Callithrix jacchus: one gene and its partners. The protein of the gene in region 1 purifies or fractionates together with the protein of each later gene. This does not show direct contact. Links are inferred from orthologs where the notes say so. Each region holds a gene or a part of one and is shown in the gene's direction. Other genes may lie near its edges. The genes, in order: DVL2, NEDD4L, VANGL1, PELI2 and CSNK1D.

What was found.
Region 2: the proteins of DVL2 (region 1) and NEDD4L purify together in Homo sapiens (affinity purification with mass spectrometry; 4 studies listed by BioGRID and IntAct, with this or other methods). This does not show direct contact. The link is inferred for Callithrix jacchus from reciprocal best matches to the Homo sapiens genes DVL2 and NEDD4L.
Region 3: the proteins of DVL2 (region 1) and VANGL1 purify together in Homo sapiens (affinity purification with mass spectrometry; 4 studies listed by BioGRID and IntAct, with this or other methods). This does not show direct contact. The link is inferred for Callithrix jacchus from reciprocal best matches to the Homo sapiens genes DVL2 and VANGL1.
Region 4: the proteins of DVL2 (region 1) and PELI2 purify together in Homo sapiens (affinity purification with western blotting; 3 studies listed by BioGRID, with this or other methods). This does not show direct contact. The link is inferred for Callithrix jacchus from reciprocal best matches to the Homo sapiens genes DVL2 and PELI2.
Region 5: the proteins of DVL2 (region 1) and CSNK1D purify together in Homo sapiens (affinity purification with mass spectrometry; 3 studies listed by BioGRID and IntAct, with this or other methods). This does not show direct contact. The link is inferred for Callithrix jacchus from reciprocal best matches to the Homo sapiens genes DVL2 and CSNK1D.

The regions. Positions count from the first base shown.
Region 1 is NC_133506.1:73,717,153-73,721,264, reverse strand, and holds part of DVL2 (segment polarity protein dishevelled homolog DVL-2), read left to right. Parts: intron 1-115; coding exon 116-185; intron 186-281; coding exon 282-421; intron 422-510; coding exon 511-587; intron 588-1,792; coding exon 1,793-1,860; intron 1,861-2,042; coding exon 2,043-2,171; intron 2,172-2,290; coding exon 2,291-2,422; intron 2,423-2,556; coding exon 2,557-2,736; intron 2,737-3,183; coding exon 3,184-3,402; intron 3,403-3,513; coding exon 3,514-3,962; 3' UTR 3,963-4,112.
Region 2 is NC_133514.1:101,387,195-101,391,306, forward strand, and holds part of NEDD4L (E3 ubiquitin-protein ligase NEDD4-like), read left to right. Parts: coding exon 1-116; intron 117-1,236; coding exon 1,237-1,434; intron 1,435-4,112. UniProt on the Homo sapiens protein: E3 ubiquitin-protein ligase that mediates the polyubiquitination of lysine and cysteine residues on target proteins and is thereby implicated in the regulation of various signaling pathways including autophagy, innate immunity or DNA repair.
Region 3 is NC_133508.1:153,653,279-153,657,390, forward strand, and holds part of VANGL1 (vang-like protein 1), read left to right. Parts: intron 1-1,282; coding exon 1,283-1,415; intron 1,416-4,112.
Region 4 is NC_133509.1:90,945,507-90,949,618, forward strand, and holds part of PELI2 (E3 ubiquitin-protein ligase pellino homolog 2), read left to right. Parts: intron 1-212; coding exon 213-410; intron 411-2,013; coding exon 2,014-2,202; intron 2,203-4,112. UniProt on the Homo sapiens protein: E3 ubiquitin ligase catalyzing the covalent attachment of ubiquitin moieties onto substrate proteins. Involved in the TLR and IL-1 signaling pathways via interaction with the complex containing IRAK kinases and TRAF6.
Region 5 is NC_133506.1:137,905,343-137,910,058, reverse strand, and holds the start of CSNK1D (casein kinase I), read left to right. Parts: upstream 1-1,622; 5' UTR 1,623-1,672; coding exon 1,673-1,748; intron 1,749-2,440; exon of another isoform or gene 2,441-2,577; intron 2,578-4,716. UniProt on the Homo sapiens protein: Essential serine/threonine-protein kinase that regulates diverse cellular growth and survival processes including Wnt signaling, DNA repair and circadian rhythms. It can phosphorylate a large number of proteins.

The DNA.
Region 1 (4,112 bases):
CGGGGAGAAGGTGGGGCATGGGCCTTGGTTTGGATGGTGCCAGGACACCAGCAGAGCCCTAGGGTGTAGACTGGGTTATTGAAGAGCACTCTAGCTCCTCCTTTTCCCACCACAGACCTCATCCTTCAGCAGTGTCACGGATTCCACAATGTCTCTGAATATCATCACAGTCACGCTGAACATGGGTATGGGGAAAGCCTGTGGCGAGGGCGTGGGGAGGGCCTGGTCTCTCTGGGGCTTGCGACTGGGGCCTCCTCCCCTCACACGGTCTCTCTCCACAGAGAAGTACAACTTCCTGGGCATCTCCATTGTGGGCCAAAGCAATGAGCGGGGAGATGGAGGCATCTACATTGGTTCCATCATGAAGGGTGGGGCCGTGGCAGCCGATGGGCGCATTGAGCCAGGGGACATGCTTTTGCAGGTGTGTTGGGGCAGGGCCATTGAGCTGCCCTGTGTGGGGGCCCTCATACTCTCCCAGCCGGCTTCTGACCCCCTTCCCCTCGCTTCCAGGTGAATGACATGAACTTTGAGAACATGAGCAATGATGACGCCGTGCGGGTGCTGAGGGACATTGTGCACAAGCCTGGGTGAGTTGCTGAGCAGGCTGCAGGTCGTCAGTCTTTTTTTTTTCCCCCTTTAACTTTTTGTTTTGCAATTTTAATAAGTGGTAAGACAATCAGGCCCAATAGCTCACCCCTGTAATCTCAGTACTTTGGGAGGCTGAGGTGGGTGGATCACCTGAGGTCGGGAGTTTAAGACCAGCCTGGCCAACATGGTGAAACCCCAACTCCACTAAAAACAGAAAAATGGCCAGGTGCAGTGGCTCGCACCTGTAATCCCAGTACTTTGGAAGGACAAAGCGGGCGGATCACCTGAGGTCAGGAGTTCGAGACCAACCTGACCAACATAGAGAAACCCTCTCTCTTCTAAAAAATATAAAATTAGTTGGGTGTGGTTGCATATGCCTGTAATCCCAGCTACTCGGGAGGCTGAAGCAGGAGAATCGCTTGAACCTGGGAGGTGGAGGTTGCGGTGAGCCAAGATTGTATCATTGTACTCCAGCCTGGGCAACAGAAGTGAAAACTCCATTTAAAAAAAAAAATATTAGCTGGGTATAGTGGTGCTCCCCTGTAGTCCCAGCTAGTGGGGAGTGAGAAAGGAGAATTGCTTGAACTCTGGGGCAGGGGCAGAGGTTGCCGTGAACTGCCATGCCACTGTACTTTAGCATGGGCAACAGAGCAAGACTCTGAAGAAAAAAAAGGGGGAGTAAGACATAACACTCAAAGTACATGAAACAAATTCGTGATGTAGCAAATAATACTAGAGCGAATACTCATGTCGCCACCACCTAGACCATCAAATAGAGATTGCTGACACCCTAGATCCCCCTCCACAGACCCCCCTTCCTGCTCCCCAATGCCTCACCCCCCAGGGCTAGTCACTCTGCTGACTTCCCGGGTCATCACCACAACAAAGAAAAGCTTTACCTCCCTCCATAGTTACCACCCTTGCATGTATCCTTGAACAGCGCGGTTTTACCTGTCTTTGGACTTTCTTTGAATGGAATTGTACAGCGTGTACTCTCGTCTCACTTGGCAGTATGTTTTTAAGAGTTTCCATGTTGATGAGTCATTCACATTGTGGTGCCTTCCACCCTCACCTTCCCTAGCCCAGCTGAGACATGCTGGCTTCTCCCCATCTTTGTGTCTCTTAATTCATCCTTGCTTCAGCGCCCCCCCACCCCAGGCCTCTTCTTCCCCTGAGCCCTTGACTGGTCTTCTCTTCCCCATAGCCCCATCGTGCTGACTGTGGCCAAGTGCTGGGATCCCTCTCCTCAGGCCTACTTCACCCTCCCCCGAAGTGAGTGACACTCAGGGAGGGGCCTGAAGTTGGTGGTGGGGGTGGCTGGGGCTGGCCTCTGATTATGGGGAATGTGTGGAGGAAGGTCCAGGCAGAGGTAGAACGGGAGGCTGAGTCAGGGAGGGACTGGGCTGGCTTTTGGGGACTGAGAAGGGGTCATTTTGGTACCATCTTTGTCCCAGATGAGCCCATCCAGCCAATTGACCCTGCTGCCTGGGTGTCCCACTCCGCGGCTCTGACTGGCACCTTCCCAGCCTACCCAGGCTCCTCCTCCATGAGCACCATTACATCAGGATCCTCTTTGCCTGATGGTGAGCTGCCAGCCTACCTCATTTCACCCTCCTGCCAGAGGGCTGCCCCGAAGTGGTGTGACCCATGGCCCTTGTGGGAGTGACCCTGCCTCTTGATGCCCCATTGTCTCCTCCACCAGGCTGTGAGGGCCGGGGTCTCTCCATCCACACAGACATGGCATCGGTCACTAAGGCCATGGCAGCTCCAGAGTCTGGGCTGGAAGTCCGGGACCGCATGTGGCTCAAGATCACCATCCCTAATGCCTTCCTGGGTATGGCTGGGTCCTGGGCAGGTGGCTGGAGAAGGGGAGGAGGAGGTGACCGAAGCTGGGAACAGCACAGGCAGAGGTGAGAGCAGGAGTTGGAAGGAGAACCTGAGCCCTTTTTCCACTGTGGGTGCCCCCAGGCTCAGATGTGGTTGACTGGCTCTACCATCATGTGGAGGGCTTTCCAGAGCGGCGGGAGGCCCGAAAATATGCCAGTGGACTGCTCAAAGCTGGCCTGATTCGACACACTGTCAACAAGATCACCTTCTCTGAGCAGTGCTATTACATCTTCGGAGACCTCAGTGGTGGCTGTGAGAGCTGTGAGTCCCCCTGCCCTGACTCTGGGAGTGTGGCTCTGCCTGCCTTGTTCTGCCTCTCCAACCCTAGACCTAGCCCAGAAACCGCAGCCAGGGCCACCATGGATGGTTGAGCAGCATGTGTCCCGAACTAGGTCCTGCACTGGCCAAGGATGGGGGCTGACGTCCACCCATGCGCTGCTGGACAAACCACGCCAGGTGCAGGACTGTCCACCGGGGGAAGGTGCACCTCTTTCTGAGTCCCGCAGAGGCATGGGCTAGTGGTGGCCCTGGCTGTGTCCTGCCCTCATGGCAGAAGTAGATGGGAGTTTCCTGTCAGAGGCCCTTGTGAACCCGTTTTGAGCCCCATCGTGGGTGGGTCTGGGAGAACTGTTCCAGTTCCTCTCATTCAGTGTCTTAGGGCCCTAGTCTCTTTGAAGCAGTGATTTACTCTCTTCCCTTGCTTTCCAGACCTAGTTAACCTGTCTCTCAATGACAACGATGGCTCCAGTGGGGCTTCAGACCAGGACACCCTGGCCCCTCTGCCTGGGGCTGCCCCCTGGCCCTTGCTGCCCACTTTCTCCTACCAGTACCCAGCCCCACATCCCTACAGCCCGCAGCCCCCACCCTACCATGAGCTTTCATCTTATACCTATGGTGGGGGCAGTGCCAGCAGCCAGCACAGTGAGGGTAAGTCACCCCCAGATACCTAATAAGCCAGGTCTGAGGGTGGATCAGAGGGGAGCCAGGGAGGAGCCTGGGTGAGGACTCAGTTGCCCCTCCCCTCCCCTCCCTCCACAGGCAGCCGGAGCAGTGGGTCGACACGAAGTGATGGGGGGGCAGGGCGCACAGGGAGGCCTGAGGAGCGGGCCCCCGAGTCCAAATCCGGCAGTGGCAGCGAGTCTGAGCCCTCCAGCCGAGGGGGCAGCCTTCGGTGGGGTGGGGAACCAAGTGGGACTGGCGATGGGGGCCCTCCTTCCTCCAGAGGCTCAAGTGGGGGTGCCCCTAATCTCCGAGCCCACCCGGGGCTCCATCCCTATGGACCACCCCCTGGCATGGCCCTCCCCTACAACCCCATGATGGTGGTCATGATGCCCCCACCCCCACCCCCAGTCCCTCCAGCAGTGCAGCCTCCAGGGGCCCCTCCAGTCAGAGACCTGGGCTCTGTGCCCCCAGAACTGACAGCCAGCCGCCAAAGCTTCCACATGGCCATGGGCAATCCCAGTGAGTTCTTTGTGGATGTTATGTAGCCTGCTGTGGGCCAGGCTGGGCCTGGTGCTCCTGGTGTGTGACTGGGTATCCCGGCCATCATGTGCTTGCTCTCAGAGTGCCTGGGCTCAGCCTGCCGGCTGCTGCCAGACAGGAGATCGTGGTCACTGTGACTCTCACCAGCAGTGCCT
Region 2 (4,112 bases), on another chromosome or scaffold:
CAGAAGATGGTGCGTCCGGATCAGCCACAAACAGTAGCAACCATCTAATCGAGCCTCAGATCCGCCGGCCTCGTAGCCTCAGCTCGCCAACAGTAACTTTATCTGCCCCGCTGGAGGTGAGACGGCTACCTCATCTAAATGGACTCACTCTGTCCTGTGACTCCCCATTCTTTCTTCTCTCTTAACTCTGCCTTCAGTTTCGCAGCCACCTCCTCTCTCTGATCAGTCGTTGTGTTGGTGGTGAAGGGTGTTCTCGTGCGACCTTTCTACCTGCTTCTCTGTCTCGCCCAGTTAACATTCCTGGACTCTCTCACCTGATTCTCATTCTCATTTGGCTGAAGCCATGGTGACTTGTGCTGGATGTGGGCATCTCTCTTTTCAGGATTTCCACCGTTCTTGTTGTGTTTTGCTCCTTTTTTGCCTGTTACCGCATTAGAATTGCATACTCCCTCTTTCAAATACCAAGTGCTGTTATTGAGTTGTTCAACATAGCTGTTGCTTTGATCATTTTTTTTTTCCTTCAACTGTAGGGCCTTTCATTATATGGGCATATGTGTTTCTGATGCACACTGGCATCTCTGCATCGTGGCTGGGCATCCGCTTGTGCTCTCTGCTGTGTTTGTGTTGTTTTAGTGCCATCCTTTAACATCACAAATGTCAGAGTTAGAGAAGCCAAAGAGCAAATGTCTGAGGTCCTAAGCTTTCCTGTGTTTTAGAGACAGCTGTGGGCTTCTCCATGCCCTGGGTCAAGATGCTGCTAAGTGGGAATAGATGCTGTCTTTTCCACACTCTGATATAAATGTCATGGGTAACGACTGTGAGATTCCAGATCTTTTTTATTGATGTAGTTTTTTCTTTTTTCTTTGTTTTTCCCCCTCTAAAACTTGCCAATCTATTCTTCATTAGAGTGTGAGCTCATTAAGAGCAAGGGCACGTTTCTCTCCACTCTGTAAAATCTCTATCCATAATGCTCAGTACAGAATAGTATTTTTTGGCATACTGAGTGGCTACCAAAGGACGGTGGTTATATGTACTTAATATTGTCGTGTGTTTATCCAACAGAGAAAATGTAAAGTTAGATTGATTTAAAAGTAAATGAATGACGGAAAACAGGTTTTGGGGGGGTCTTCCCTCTTGTCCATCTCCAAAGAGGAGCCTTCTACAGTGCCCTGGTACATTTTGACACATTGGAATCACACGTGCTAAAGAGTTCTAATGCTCATTGTTATTCTTTAGGGTGCCAAGGACTCACCCGTACGTCGGGCTGTGAAAGACACCCTTTCCAACCCACAGTCCCCACAGCCATCACCTTACAACTCCCCCAAACCACAACACAAAGTCACACAGAGCTTCTTGCCACCCGGCTGGGAAATGAGGATAGCGCCAAACGGCCGGCCCTTCTTCATTGATCATAACACAAAGACTACAACCTGGGTAAGGCTGCTGCTTTTATTTGGCCCCGTTTGCATCGTGAAGTCTGGCATTACTTTCTTTATTTCATTACTCCGTGTTTGTAGTTCTTGCAGAGGAATTGGATTGACTGTAAAGGGTGTCTCTAGTGGGTCTCCTCAGCCTGCACCTGGCCCCTGCATGGATGGGCGGGTGGGAGTTGGGGGGGGCACAGGCTGGTACCTCTCTTTGCTCTTGGTGCTGGGACCACCTTTTCTCCTGGGAAGCTCTGGTTTAGACAGTTGGCCATACTGGGTGGAAAGGTACTGCTCTGTGCTGTTAAGATTTTGCTATTATTCCATCCCATCTCAACGAAGTAGTCTCATTAGGAGTTATAATCATTTTCAAATAATTTTTTCTTTTGTCAGTTTTTTTTTTGCACTTTTATTGGCATCATCCACCTTCTTTTGATTTGTCACTTCAGTTTTTACTATTCACATCAGCTCAGTATTCACACATCTGTGCTGCCTTTTCATGCCTTTAATCACGGGGTAGGGGATGTACTGAGTGGCTTTGGTTATAAATCTGATAGCTCTTTTTTGTGATCATTTTGTCAGAATTGATTTTTCTTAGCATGCAACTCTTTCATGTGCTTCTGAATTGTATGAAAGAAAGAATCTGTACATTGTATTATCTTGAGCAAAATGGCATTAATCAAAGGTGAAAATACAAGCATATCTTTATATTTCTCCATCAGTTCTTTATTTCTTTAGCTCAATCAGCAGGTGGCTTTTTCAGTGTAGCATATAATTCTTTTAAAAGTCAGTTGGTATTTTCTACTATATAATCTCTGTACCTGTAGTGAAACTGAAATTTCTGGCTATTTTTGATGCTGCAGATGGTTGTTCCTCCTGCCTGTTATATTCCCATCTAATTGTCTGGCTCAAGTTAACTCAGAGTTTAGCTTAGTCCTACTATTGTCTGTGCTGCTTGCTCAGAACCACTGTTACGGGATTGCTGGTTGAGTGTTCGTGATTGTCACTGTCCCTAGCTCTTTGGTCTTGTGTCAGCAATGGACATACACCCTAAATCCCCATTTCCAGTGATGGACATTAAGTGTGTCCGTTTGCTAGATCGGGAGCAAGCCCTGACCAACGGGATTTGGGCTGTCATTTTGTGCCTCGCCCATTGTGTGGAATCAGTTCAGTCCAGCAGGTCTAGAGGGTGTGCTCCTAGAATCCTTTGGATCATGGGACATTGTGTCTTCAAGGGTGTTCTTGGCATTTGGGGCAGGGACATTTGTGCCTTCAGTTTCAGGCCACTTAACCTTGGCTTCTGCCACCAGGCACTAATGGTCACCATTACCCCCACCCCAACATAGCGACGACCAAAAATGCCCTACACATTTCAAAACAGCCCTAAGTGAGAACCACTCTGTGAGCTCTTTCTATTTTGAAGTAATGGAGTGGCCTGCCAAGAGAACTTCTCATTTAGGGCTGGTAACATTCATTTGGTAAACTGATAACTGCTTCTAAGGCATATAATAACATGTAGGTTCGTTTGACTTACCTACTGGTCTGAAGATAATGTTACAGATTTGCAGGCAAGACAAGAGGAAGAGACGGGCAGCTCTTTGGAAAATATAGTCATGGAGATTGGTTTTTAATCTTTTCTCTTATTACCATGAAACCCCTGGCTGTCCTGCCAGTGTTCTCATTTACTATAGCACTGCTGTAATTTCAAGTCCTCAGCCAGAAACGGGCTCCAGAAATAAGGGCTAAAGAATATAAAAGTAGATGGATTAGTGTAAGGAGCCACTGTGGCTTGCCAACATAAGCTATGATTTTAGTAATTTCAACTAGCTTAGTAATCGAATCCCTTAACCTTTCACAGCCTTTCAACAGCAGTGTAATTGCTGTTGGGCAGATTGTATTTTAAATTAAACAGCACTCACTCTATTTATTGCCTGCATCGTTGCTGAATGAAACCCATTTTTAATTTCCAGTTGTCTCTTTTTACCCAGATACTTGTTATTGACTAATTTACTGATTTAAAATTATAATCTGTTAGAACAACATTTTATTGCTGCTGCCAGTATGGAAAGTCCTCAAGATAACAACTGGAAATTCCACAAGTTACTCCCCTTCTTGAGCGAACTCAGATGTGCTGACACAGCTGCGTTATCACTTTTAAACAAAGGCCTAGGCAGGATTCTCCCTGCAGAAGACACACCCTAAATTGACTGCTCATTTTGACAAAAGATGGAGGGATGGAGGGAAGCCTGAAGATAATTTGCAGCTTAAAAATCTGTTTTGAGTTGGTTTGGGGGTTTGCTTTGTTTTTTTATTTTTGAAAGAGGAAGTGAACAAATGAGAGAACAGCATAGCTGTTCTTAGATTTGAATATTAGAATAGAAAAGGAAAAAAACTGATAGGACAGGTTGAGAATGATGAAAAAATAATACTCCTTCCTCCATCAGCCTGGGCACTGTTGATTCTTACACTAACCAGAAGCCTGAAAAGGACATTTCCCCTCTGTACATTGGGAAATTTAAAAATTTTATTGAAATATGTCATAAAACATGACCTTACCCACACAGATATTGAAGGCAATCTACCATCAGTCTATTTAGTTAAAGTTTGGCTTCATTCTTCTTTTATTATTATTTTTGAGATGGATTCTCACTCTCATCCAGGCTGGAGTACAACAGCACAATCTCAGCT
Region 3 (4,112 bases), on another chromosome or scaffold:
AGGAGATTTGGGTGGGGACACCTAAATCAGCAATAGATTGTAATTATAAGTTGTGCTCTAGGGATAGAGTTGTCATCAAAAGATTCCCTTGGCCACGGAAGCCTCCTGGCTCTTTGAAGGAATCAATCAGTGCTTATCCCAGGGAGATAATGATGAGGTCAAAATCTGCATTTTCTTAAGCTAAGTAGTAGGTTAACAGAAGATATGTCGTGTGTTAATAGCTCTACTTACATCTCTTTCTCCGGGGTATATGCACTCTGTGTCACTAAGCGAAGTCACCATTCTTTGACATTGGCTAATGGTCATAGCAATTACAGCCACCGTATGTTAACACTTACTCCACATCCTTGTACTGAGCACTACTTACATTAGGTGGTGGTGTCACCATTTCATAAAGAAACTGAGGTTTTCACAGATTGAATAACTTGTGCACAATCACACATCTGGTAGGGCGGAACCAAGATCTCTGTCTCCAAAATCTGCTTCTGTCCTGCCCGGGAGACCTTGGCAATGAGGGTGAGTGATTGTAGGAAGCAGGGCTGATGTCAAGGAGGCTGTGGGGGCAGGAGGCTGAGGGAACTCACTGACCCTTGAGAAGTCCTTAGGTGGCCACAAAAGGAACCACAGTGATTGGTTCCTTTTGGAATTTCATGAATGACCCCCAGGCAGGATTCTTACAATCACCCTGGAAGACCACCCTGGAAGTTCCTGTGGGGTAAAATGATGCAGCAGACTGCTTTCTTCAGGAGGCCTGAAATCCTCCCCGAACACACACACACACACACACATACACACACACACACACACCCTCCACAACTCTTGGTGCCTTTTGCCCTAGCTTGTTTGTTTCTGTGGTTGTCTTCAAGTTCAGCTAGAACCTATGGGAATGACTTAGTTTTGAACTCGTAAGAATGAGAAGTACACAATTCAACCAAATCAAACCAGTAATTATTACAGGAAGGTGTAACTAGCTACAGAAATTCTAAAATTACAATTTTAGTCTTTGAAAAAAATATCGCTGTTGATAAAGGAAGAGTGACTCTTTGTTTTGGGTCTTGGAATGGCAGAAGGAAAATATTAAGGAGGCAGTAAAAATCTGTGTACCCCTTGAAGAGTGGTGAGGATGTACGTGTTTTGATGCTGTGTGTGCATTTGCGTGTGCACGTGGGCCCATGTATATGTGTGTAGAATTTTCCTAAGTTCAAAATGATACTTACATTTCTGTGAACCCAGAGAGTTAATTAACATGGCATAAATGTGCTAGCTCATTGTTGTTTTTCAGGGAGAGAACTAGAGAGAGACACAAATCACCCCGGAGTAAAGATGGCAGAGGGTCAGAAAAGTCTGTCACCATTCAAGCTCCCACTGGAGAGCCCCTGTTGGCAAACGATTCCACCCGGACAGAGGAAGTTCAGGTAACGATCGACGGCCGTCTGTAAGCACACTGCCACGTGGCCAAGACTCCTTTCTGTAAATGTTTTCCTAAGTCTTGTTGCAGTAGGTTCTCTTGGGTTTCTGTCTTTATTTTCCTAGCATGCTAATTAGTTTATCTACGTCCTCTGGTCTCTTGTTGGTCTAAGAACAGCCTGTCCTGCCCTTTGGTAGCTTGGGGATTCTTCTGAAGTATGATTGGTTGGCCTGCTCTGCATGGTGTGAAAAGAAGCCAGCCAGGTTGACGACAGGGAAGGGAAGGGAAAAGCTGAAGTCTCCCACAACTCATTTCAAAATGGAACAGTATAAGAAGGAGAAGGAAACCCAGAAAACCTACGTAGTGTTAAGAAGAGGGAAAAACGTGGGGCAGCCCAGACTGAAACATTACTACTAGATCTATGCAGTAAATCAGAGGCTGCACACACGGATACCTGGTAGAGGAACATAAGTTAATTAAGGAGGCCCTGGGTCAACAAGAGGGGGCAAAAATATCTCAAACAAGCTTTGGGTTAACAGCAGTCTCTGCAGTGCCTCAGTGTCACTGCTGTTGTGTGCAGTGAAGGAGCCTGTGGCAAACTGAAGAATGCACTTTCTCTGCAAAGGAAACAGCAGCTTTGCAGCTCCAGACACCTACTCTGCTCAGGAATTCAAGGATTCAGTGTTTAAGCTGGAGGGCCAGGCGCGGTGGCTCACACCTGTAATCCCAGCCCTTTGGGAGGCGGGTGGATCACGAGGTCAAGAGATCCAGACCATCCTGGTCAACAAGGTGAAACCCCATCTCTACTAAAAATACGAAAATTAGCTGGGCATGGTGGCGCTTGCCTGTAATCCCAGCTACTCGGGAGGCTGAGGCAGGAGAATTGCTTGAACCCAGGAAGCGGAGGTTGCAGTGAGCCGAGATTGTGCCATTGCACTCCAGTCTGGGTAACAACAGCAAAATTCCGTCTCAAAAAAAAAAAAGAAAAAGAAAAGCTAATTTTCTTTTTTATATTTTATATTATTTTTGAAATATACTTCATTTTTTAAAACATTGAGTGGGTTCTTCTCGAGGTTCCAACTGGCAGCCCATCTGATTTAAATAAACATCTGAACTATACACAGAAACATGTTTGCACACCCTCTGCACATCCTGAAATATATATACACATGTCCAGCCTTGCCCCTCATAAACAAAGCAGCGTATGATACACAGCTGTAAAGATAGATGTAGGACTGTAGATAAGCATAAATCTGTACATACCTCTGCGTACACACAGGTAAGCATTTATAATCAGATAGATGGACTTGGAATTCCTAGGAGCACACAAGGTGCTCTTGGGACACAAAGCGACAGTTGTGGGTTGAACATGGGCTTCATTGAGCAGTGAGCAAATGTCTTTAGTGCTGCCTGCTTTGGCTGTGGGGTGGCTGGTGGTTGGATGGGGCCAGTCCTAGGACTGGGTCACCCTGGAGCGTGGCGGGGGGGGCGGTCAGTTTCCTCCTGGATGTGCATTCAGAGGTGCTGGTGGCCTACAATGAGGGCGCTGCTTTCTCCACATCTCCTCTGCACCTCATAGCTGAGAACTACTTTGGGAAGCTGTTGGTGCTGCTCCAGGATAATCTGGTGAGAAAGGCATTGAGATGGGTGTTTGGAGGCTGTATTTCTCAGTAGCTCCGTTACCTTGAGCAGTCACAGCCTTTGTAGGCCTCAGTTTCTTTATGGAAATCTAGGGGTTTTGATGAAAGAATCCTAGGTCCTTTTTCTTCTAAGAACCTCAAGCTTGACAGGACCCTTTGTACATGTACATTTTTTAGGCATGCATGTGCACCCCGGGAAATTCTCTTGGGCCCTTCCTAGTCAATCTCTGCCTCACCCTCGCCTCTCCAAGGCAACCACTGTGTTGATTTCTATCACTGTAGATTAATTTTTGCCTGTTTTTGAATTTAATATAATTAGAATCATATGGTCTGTCTCCCTCACACCCACCACCCCGCTCAGCATAATGATTTTGAGATTTATCCATGTTTTGGTTTGTTTCAACAGCTTATTTTTTTTACTTTTGCTGAATGGTATTCCATTGTATCAGTGTACCACAATATATTATCCATTCTCTTAGTCGATGGACATGTGGGTTGTACCATTTTGGCTGTTATGAACATTCTTCTTGTTGTCTGTTGTTGGATATATCTTTTCTTTTTCTTTCTTTCTTTTTTTTTTTTTTCTCTTGAGACACAGTCTTGCTTTCTTGTCCAGGCTGGAGTCCAGGGACGCAGTCTCAGCTCATTGAAGTCTCCACCTCTGGGGTTCAAACAATTCTCTTGCCTCAGCCTCCTGAGTAGCTGGGATTACAAGCATACACCACCATGCCCGGCTCATTTTGTATTTTTAGTAAAGACAGGGTTTCATTATGTTGGCCAGGCTGGTCTCAAACTCCTGACCTCAGGTGATTTGCCTACCTTGGCCTTCCAAAGTGCTAGGATTATAGGCGTGAGCCACTGCGCCCAGCTGGATGTATGTTTTTATTAATTTTTGGATAAAACGTGAGAGTGGAATTGCTGGGCCATAGAGTTAAGCGTATATTTAAATTTATGTGAAACAGCCAGAGTGGTTTTCCAGAGGCACTGTACCATGGTCCACGTCCACCAGCGGTGTCTGAGAGTCCTGGCTGCCTCTGGCCATCATCTTAAATAGGAATTTCGTG
Region 4 (4,112 bases), on another chromosome or scaffold:
ACATATATATATATATATAAAATGGTTGGTTTCCCTAATATCTTCCCTAGTTAAATAGGAAAAGGAGCACAAATGAAAATCTTGCATTAAATTCTGATGCTCAGAACAAAGATAGTGAATGTTGAAGGGATCCTGAATGCCTTTTCCATGTGGGTAAAATACAGCACCATGCTATTTTCCAAGTGAATCACGAGCACATTTGATTCATTTAGGTGGGCAGATCAACAGAAAGCCCTATCGACTTCGTTGTCACAGATACGATTTCTGGCAGCCAGAACACGGATGAAGCCCAGATCACACAGAGCACCATATCCAGGTTTGCCTGCAGGATCGTGTGTGACAGGAATGAGCCTTACACAGCACGGATATTTGCCGCTGGATTTGACTCTTCCAAAAACATATTCCTTGGAGTAAGTACTGTCAAGAAGTACGTGATTTCCCGAAAAATGCTTATAATTATGATATGGAACATTTAGTTGGAGCAAAAAAAATTGGCTTTATATGTTGCCTCTAATGAGGTTTTGCAGATTTTAGTTTTCAGGTGGCCAGTTTGAGAAACTGTCATTAAAAATCTGAACATTAATAACCATTACTTGTTCATTATATTTTTTTATATTGTAATATTTACAGTAAGTTTTTAAGTATGCGTAGAACATTGTCCATAAAGCATTTATGGCAGTTATAGGTTTATTTCAGAGAGAGAAATAAATGGCCAAATTTAGATCATTAGGGCTCAGAGGAAAATGTTAGTGATTCATTCATTCAAAAATGTTTTATTGAATGTTTGCTATGTTTTATACTGGGTGTTTTAGATGTGGGATTACAGAGAATAAAACAGACTTAAATCCCTGTCCTCATAGGGTTTCCTTGTAAATGAACCCCAGAAGTTTTAGTGAATATCCAGGTTTACCCTAGTTCCCTTTTGAATTAGGATATTTTTGTAGGGAAAAAAGAACCCACTCAAAATGGTCTAAAAACAATGAAAATGTACTGTGCCACATAAGAATTGCTGAAGAAGGCCAGCTCCAGGGTTGGTGGTTCAGTGGTTCTGTGACATCCAGGGCCCCAGGTTCTCTCTGTCTTGCCTTCTGCCTCCCATGGCGCACCAGCCTCTTCATGAGAAGTCTTCTTCTGGGTGACAGCTGACTCCTGCACTTCCACATGTCCCCTGCCACGTGACAACTTCCAACCAGAGAATAGGGTGGCAGAAGCACTGTTTCTTCCTTGTCTCTTCTTAGAGCACAGATGCCTTTTACGGAAGCTTCCCAGAAGATATGTGTCATCAATCAGAGCCCAGACATGTTCTATGCCCACCTGTAAACCAGCCATTGGGAAGAGGGCTACGAGTGTCATGTTGGCTTCATCAGGATTTCCCTCCCCTCAGCCTCGTGAACAGTAGCTGAGCTCTGTCACCAAGAAAGCTGAGGGGAAGAGCTGTGGCACAGGCACCCAAGAGTGTCCTGTCATCATGTCAAGCTACATGTGCCATCATCTTTGAGAAGATAAACACTGATTGTTGGGAAAACATAATGGCCCCGACTTGTTGGCTTCACATGTTTTGAATTTTCTGCCTTTAATAAAAAATGTTTCTTTATGACTATCCTTACTTCTCTATCCTGACAATGAGTACATAGAAAGCACTTTTGGGTAGCAGAATAAGAGCATGGCCCAAATATAACTGAAAAGAGAAAGCACACCAGATTCCTGGAATCACATGGGGTTGTGGGGAGTGTAAAAAGAATCAGAGGGAGGAGCCCAGCCATCAGTTTTTTGCAAGCTCTTGAGAACTATCATATGTGTCCAGTGATAAATCATTCATCTGTTTCAACACTTTTATATTGCCAAAATAATTGCATATTTTATCCTTGTGTGATTATAAGCTTTAAATAGAAAATGCAAATTCATCACCTTCCTTCCCTCTGCCTCTACGCAATGAATTAAAGAAATTCCAGAATCCTTTCCATTTGAATGTCATCTTAGCCTGCTTTTTGTGTTCTGCCTTGTACTCTCCAGGAAAAGGCAGCAAAGTGGAAAAACCCTGACGGCCACATGGATGGGCTCACTACGAATGGCGTCCTGGTGATGCATCCACGAGGGGGCTTCACCGAGGAGTCCCAGCCTGGGGTCTGGCGCGAGATCTCCGTCTGTGGAGATGTGTACACCTTGCGAGAAACCAGGTCGGCCCAGCAACGAGGAAAGCTGGTGAGTGCACTTCACTCTGGAAAATGTTCCACACAACACAAGCCTAACACAGAGGCTGTCGTTTTCCCTCCCCTGAGGTTCAGAACCTTTGTACGGGTCCAAGCACTGTGTACCATAACCCAGGAGAAGCAGAATTCCACAGGCACCTGAAAGCAAGAGGGAAAGGGCCTTATTTTCTTCAATGGCCCAACTTTTCCCATAGTGGGAGTAAGTTGCCTTTTGCTCCTTACCACCTTAAGAGCATTATCTTTTATTATAGACCTCACCACAAAAATCTACTTAAATTCACTTTAAGGAAAATAAACTTATTTTTAGTGTAAAACTTTATTGATTTGGAAAACATTTGAGTAGTCCAAAAACAATTAGTAAAAATTATGAATTAGAGAATTATTTATAATTAGCTGGGCATGTTGGTGCACACCTGTAGTCCCAGCTTTTCAGGAGGCTGAGGCAGGAGAATTGCTTGAACCTGGAGGTGAAGGTTGTGGTGAGCCAAGATCGTGCCACTGCACTTTAGCCTGGGCAACAGAGCAAGACTCCATCTCAAAAAAACAAAAAATGAATTATGCCAGATGCAGTTGCTTACGCCTGTAATCCCAAGCACTTTGGGAGGCTGAGGCTGGCAGATCACAGGTCAAGAGATTGAGACCATCATGGCCAACATGGTGAGTGAAACCTCATCTCTACTAAAAATAAAAAAATTAGCTGAATGTGGCGGCACATGCCTATAGTCCTAGCTACTCAGGATGCTGAGGCAGGAGAATCGCTTGAACCTGAGAGGCAGAGGTTGCAGTGAGCCAAGATCGCACCACTTCACTACAGTCTGGTGTCAAGAGTGAGACTCAGTCTCAAAACACAAAACAACAAAAAAAAAGAATTATTTACTAGACCTTCTGCAACTAAGAAATAGTTAAGTCAGCTGGTTTTCCCCTTGAATTCTTATATATTAATGCAGAATTCTCTATATTGTCCACCAAAATCATAGTTAGAACTTTTCACTTGAAATAATTTATATACTACATTGACCTGGCATGTTAATATTTTCCTATAAATATCACCACTTATCCCCATGCCCTAAAGCAGTTTTTTAAACCCATTCTTCCTTGGAGAATAATTATAGTACCTTAAATGTAGAACTTTGGGTTTCTGATCTTGCTATAGCCATGTGGCATAGCCGCTGAAAGATTTTTACTAAACTATCCATTCCTGTACTTTTGCTTAATTTGTTAGGTAGAAGCTAGAATGAAGGAGAAAAAATGTCTTTTTCTAGAAGCTAGAAAAGAAGGAGTTTTTCAAAACTCCCACAGAGCAAAATGTATAAGGAGTAGAGGATTTGACCTAGCACTTTTCAGAGAGAAGGATCATCACCAAAGATGTCTAAGATGGAAAAAGAAGTTGGGAGCTATAAAGAAAAACTAAAACCAGATAGATAGATAGATAGATAGATAGATAGATAGATAGATAGATAGATAGATATAGAAGCTGGGAGCTGTTTTGCTACCCTGATTTGCTGTTCTTTACTGGAAGGGAATGGTTATTTTTATTTCTATTTTACACCATTTTTCAGCTATAGGCACAGCTTCTGCATTTTACAATGCATATGGCTGAAATAAATATGAGAAGCATTTTCTAAGGAAAATCGTGCAATTTCAATGAATTTTGTATAAATGTTTTCAAGAAATTGTAAACAGAGAAGCAAATGTGACAGGAATTTTTCTAAATAACCTTTTGTTTCTGATCACTGGATAGTTTTATACAAAACTGACCTAGCTTGGCCAAACTGGCTATTCATCATTATAACAGCAAGAGTAAGAAGTCAGTAAATGGTTGCTGATGCAGGTACTACATTAACATTTCCGACATCAGCTCACTTAATCTGCACAGCAGCCCTCTAAGGGAAGTAGAGTCAT
Region 5 (4,716 bases), about 64 Mb from region 1:
CAGTACCTGCTGCAGGCTACATGAAGCTTGGGGCACCATGGATGAGAAGAGCTAGAAATGTTGGGCCATCAGAACCCAGAGGACCAGCCGAGGGGAGGAGCAGCTGACAGGTGAACAGGTGCCCCTGGTCAGCGAGGGCAGGACTCCCCAGGAGGAAGGATCACAAGGATCACTGTCACCTGCAGGTGAGTTGGGCTCTGTTCATCAACAGAAAAACCGTGAGTGATTCTGTCAACAAGGTGATTTTTACCAGTCTGGTGCACCCTCCCCCCCACCACCCGCTTCTGTAACTCAGAAACTGGGCAGCTCCGACTGCCTGTCCCTCGTTAGTGACTGATGGTGTCTGGCTGACTGCATCTCCTGTCTTCAGGCCCTACTGTGTAACTTCAGGAATGGATATCTGCCTCCCCGGGATATCTACCTCCATGGGAGCTGAGGGGTGGAGAGGAAAGACGGGGATGGAGACTGGTGGGTGCCACTGCAGGGCCCTTCGGGGGCTGCTTTCCTCTTCTGCAGTGACCCAGATGCCAGCTGAGGCTTCTGTCTCACTTAGGCCACGGTGCCCACACCAGAGCCCTGAATTCACCTGTTTCACCTTCTTGAGTTTCAGCAAGGATGGGACAGGTTGAGACAGGTGGACATGGGACCACGGGGACTGGTTCTTCATGGTCCCCATGCGCCGCAGCCTGGGGGGGCTTCTCTGGAGGGCTTTCTTCCCAGTGATGGGAATCAAAGGCCCCAATCTTTGAAGCTGACCGTCAGCCTGAACGTGCACATCCTTGTTTTCTTTTGCAAGGAGGAATATTCAGATCCAACACAGATAAGAATGTTGACTCGGTCTCCAGGCCGCAGGGACTGGTGGGAGGCAGGTGGTCTGTCCTCATTTTGTGAAAGGTGGTAGCCTCGTCCTCATCCTTCAGGCTGGACATCAGGACCTCCCAGGGTGCGGGCCTCTCTGTCTCTGGCCTCAGGTGTCAGGAGGCAAAGCCGCTGACGTCCTGAGATGCCCCACGCCCGGGAACTGGCAGCCAAGTGAGAAGGTCTCACTTGTGTCCTCCGGGCCGGGCCTCAGCTACCTGTTCCCTCCTGCAAAGGGCACCGCCTGTCTCCAGGAACTCACCTGGCTCTCCCGAAATCTCGGGGGACACACGAAAAGCCCCAGTGAGAGCGGTAGGAGCCTGCACGTGGAAGGGGCTGGCGGCCTGAGGTCCTGGGATAATGGGCGGGCAGAGGGACTGGGGCCCTGCGAGACGGTGCAGGGTCCGAGGAGGCTGGGAGCGCTCGCCCCACCCGCCCCCGCCCCTCGAGCACTGCGGCCCCACCCGCCAGGGGGTTGCCAAGGGAAGTGACGTCACAGCGCGATGGCGGCGGCTCCTTCAGGCTGCTGAAAGGGGATTTAGGCCCCGAAGATCCGAGTCCATCCGCGGCGGGGAGAGGGCAAGCGGCGCCGGCAGGGGCCGGAGCAGCGGCGGCGGCGCTTGGACTGTCCCATCCGCCCCGTATTGAGGCGCTGGGAGCGACGGGGCAACGGGAAAGCGATGGTGAAAGCGGGGCCGTGAGGGGGGCGGAGCCGGCAGCCGGAGCCGCAGTAGCGGCAGCAGTGGCGCCGCCTCCCGGAGCTCAGACCCAGGAAGCGGCCGGGAGGGCAGGATCGAACCGGGCCGCCGCCGCCATGGAGCTGAGAGTCGGGAACAGGTACCGGCTGGGTCGGAAGATTGGCAGCGGCTCCTTCGGAGACATCTATCTTGGTGAGGCCCCGCCGTCCCCACCCGCCGTTTGAGGACCCGGGCCCCGCGGCTACCGAGACCAAGTGCGACCGCGGAAGGAAGTGGCGGCCCCCGCGGGGTCCGCGCGCAAGCCCTGCCGCCGCCGGGTCGTCGCTAGAACCCAACGGCCACTAGACAAGCGCGGCCGGGGTTGGGGAGGACAGTGGGGCGTGGACCTGGGGGAGGGGCAGGGTCGGGGGGTGGGGGAGCGGGGTCTGGAGAGGGGAGGGGTGGGAAAGAGGGGACAGGGGAGCCGACCCGGGGCGGGGCACGGTCTCGGGGGTGCGGAGTCGGGAAGGGGCAGGGTCGTCGGGGAGCGGACCCGCGAAGGGCTGGGTGGGGCGTGGGGAGGCGGGCCCAGGGGAGGGGCAGGGCGTGATGGGGGCCGCGGCCCGTGGGAGGGGAGGGGGAGGGGGCGGGGCAGGGCCGGGGCCGCGGGCGAGTGTCGGCTTGCTCCGCGCCTGAGGTCTCCGAGATAAACAAAGGCCATGCTCTTTCTTTCGCAGCCCTGTCCGAGGATGTTTGGCTCCCCAGTCAGAGGCTGCCCATGCGTCTTGCACGCGTGGGGGATAATGTCAGAAAGACCCGAATGCCGTGTGGAGCTGGGGGAGTGGCCTGGCTAGGAGCGGGGCTTGCCCTCCACCTCGCGGCCGCCGTCATGACTGACCGCTGGGGGTTCTCTCTGCACTGCGACCCTAGGCCTTGGAGCGGTGACTGAGTGCAAATGAAAGTCCCACAGGGTTAAGATGCTGGCAAAATGAGAGGCCCATGAAGTAGTAGTACTCATGAGCTGTCCTTTAACATTCTCAAGGTAGATTTCAAAAAAAAAAAAAAAATGGGATTAGAACATTCTGGGTTGTCATATTTACAACAGAAGAATATGCATGTGGGCACAAGTGTATTGAAAGATTGGCTGACATCTTCAAGTTTGTAAAAAAAATTTATTTTGAGATGGAATTTTGCTCTTGTTGCCCAGGTATAATGGCATGATCTCAGTTCACTGCAACCTCCACCTCCAGGGTTCAAGCGATTCTCCTGCCTCAGCCTCCCGAGTAGCTGGGACTACAGGCGCGTGCCACCACGCCTGGCTAATTTTCTATTTTTAGTAGAGACAGGGTTTCTGTATGTTAGTTAGGCTGGTCTCAAACTCCCGACCTCAGGTGATTCCCCGCCTCCCACCCCTTGGCCTCCCAAAGTGCTGGGATTACAGGCATGAGCCACCACGCCCAGCCCAAGTTTGTACATAATTTTAAAGTAACTTAATTTTCCGTACTTGTCAGTGGGATTGTGCAATACAGGAGTTATTCCAAGACCCCCTGAACTTGAGGATGTGTAGCCTCGTGGGCAGTGTGCCTGCAGAAGGCCTGATGCAGACCTTTGAGGGGACCTATTCTCTGTTCCAGCAGCCCCATCTCTGGGGTGTGTTTGGCTGGGGCACAGCCAGGGTCCGGAATCCTATGGGATGTCAGTAATGCCTCTGGTCGCACTTTTTAGATTAATCCGCATGTGAACAGTCCCTACATCTCATACCCTTCTCACTTTTCACCTGAGAGATGACTCAGGACCCAGTGGGCTGACAGCATTAGGCTGAACCCATACATTTGGGTGGGTCATACTTTGGGTGCCTGGTTAACCTACCAGTTAACCCTGTCACATGCCATATTGTTGCTTTTGAACCTGTATATATGCCTTAGCAGCCTGTGAGTAAAACACGCTTTAGATGTTTGGGTTGACTAAACATTTATACCCAGGTGGTCAGCTGGATATGTTCTTGGCAGTGTTTTGGAAGTCAGAGTGCTTGGTAAATGGAAGGCATTTGGCTTATTTATAGATTGATAGATTTTGGCAAAAGTTTTAACTCCACAGTCTGAGTTACACTGCAAAGCCAGTCCATTAACCACTCTTAGGCAGGCATCAAAAAGAAGTATTTTAGGCTGGGCGCAGTGGCTCATACCTGTAATCCCAGCACTTTGGGAGGCCAAGGTTGGCGGATCACTTGGGGTCAGTAGTTTAATACCAGCCTGGCTAACATGGCAAAACTCCTTCTCTACTAAAAATACAAAAATTAGCCGGGTATGGTGGCCGTCACCTGTGATCCCAGCTACTCAGGAGGCTAAGGCATCCTGAGAGGTACAGATTGCAGTGAGTCAAGGTCACACCACTGCACTCCTCTGAGACCTTGTCAGAACAACTTTGTGCTTTCCAAAGATAGATTCAGACAAATTCTGGTGTGGTTGTTACCAAGTCGTTCACAAAGGTGGAAGGTGGCAGGCTGTCTGCTCACTCATGGTTGCACCCTCAGGCCTCACCTCATGCTGGGCATGCAGTCACGCTGGAAACCATTAGGGTAGGGATTTCCGGTGACTGTGGCTCTGGCGCCCTGGGGTTGGAGCCTTCAGACAACCATCCATCAGGGTACATGTCCAGTTACTTGAGTGGGGTTGGGCACAGCTGATTTGTTTTTTTTCCATCAGCATTGGCTCCTGGCCTACATTTCAGTCCTTTCAGACGACCCCCCTGAGGAAATGAAAAGTGAAGTGGTCATGTAACCCGGAGTAAGGCAGGCTGGAGGAAGTGTGGGTCTGCGCAGAGCAGCAGTTAGAGTCAAGATGGCTGATCTGAAGACCGTGAAATCATCTCCACCATAGTTGGTTTGGGCAACCTGTTAGACACGAATCGAGGGACTGGACCTGTGTGTGTTGTGTGTATTCTCATATGAGCATAGTTAAAACCATTCCTGCTGCTGTCACTTTGGTATTCCTTCAGGTGGGCTTCACCTTGCTCTGAGCCTGGCTTTTGGGTTTTTGTTTTCCATCTGGCACTTCCTTTGCTTTCAGGTGTTTGAGACCTGGAGGAGAGGAAGGCTATGTTTCATTGCAGTGCTTGTAGGCTAGAAGCATGGTGTTGGCCTGCCTGTCCCCATCCTGCTGTGGCATTTGGGGGGCTGAAC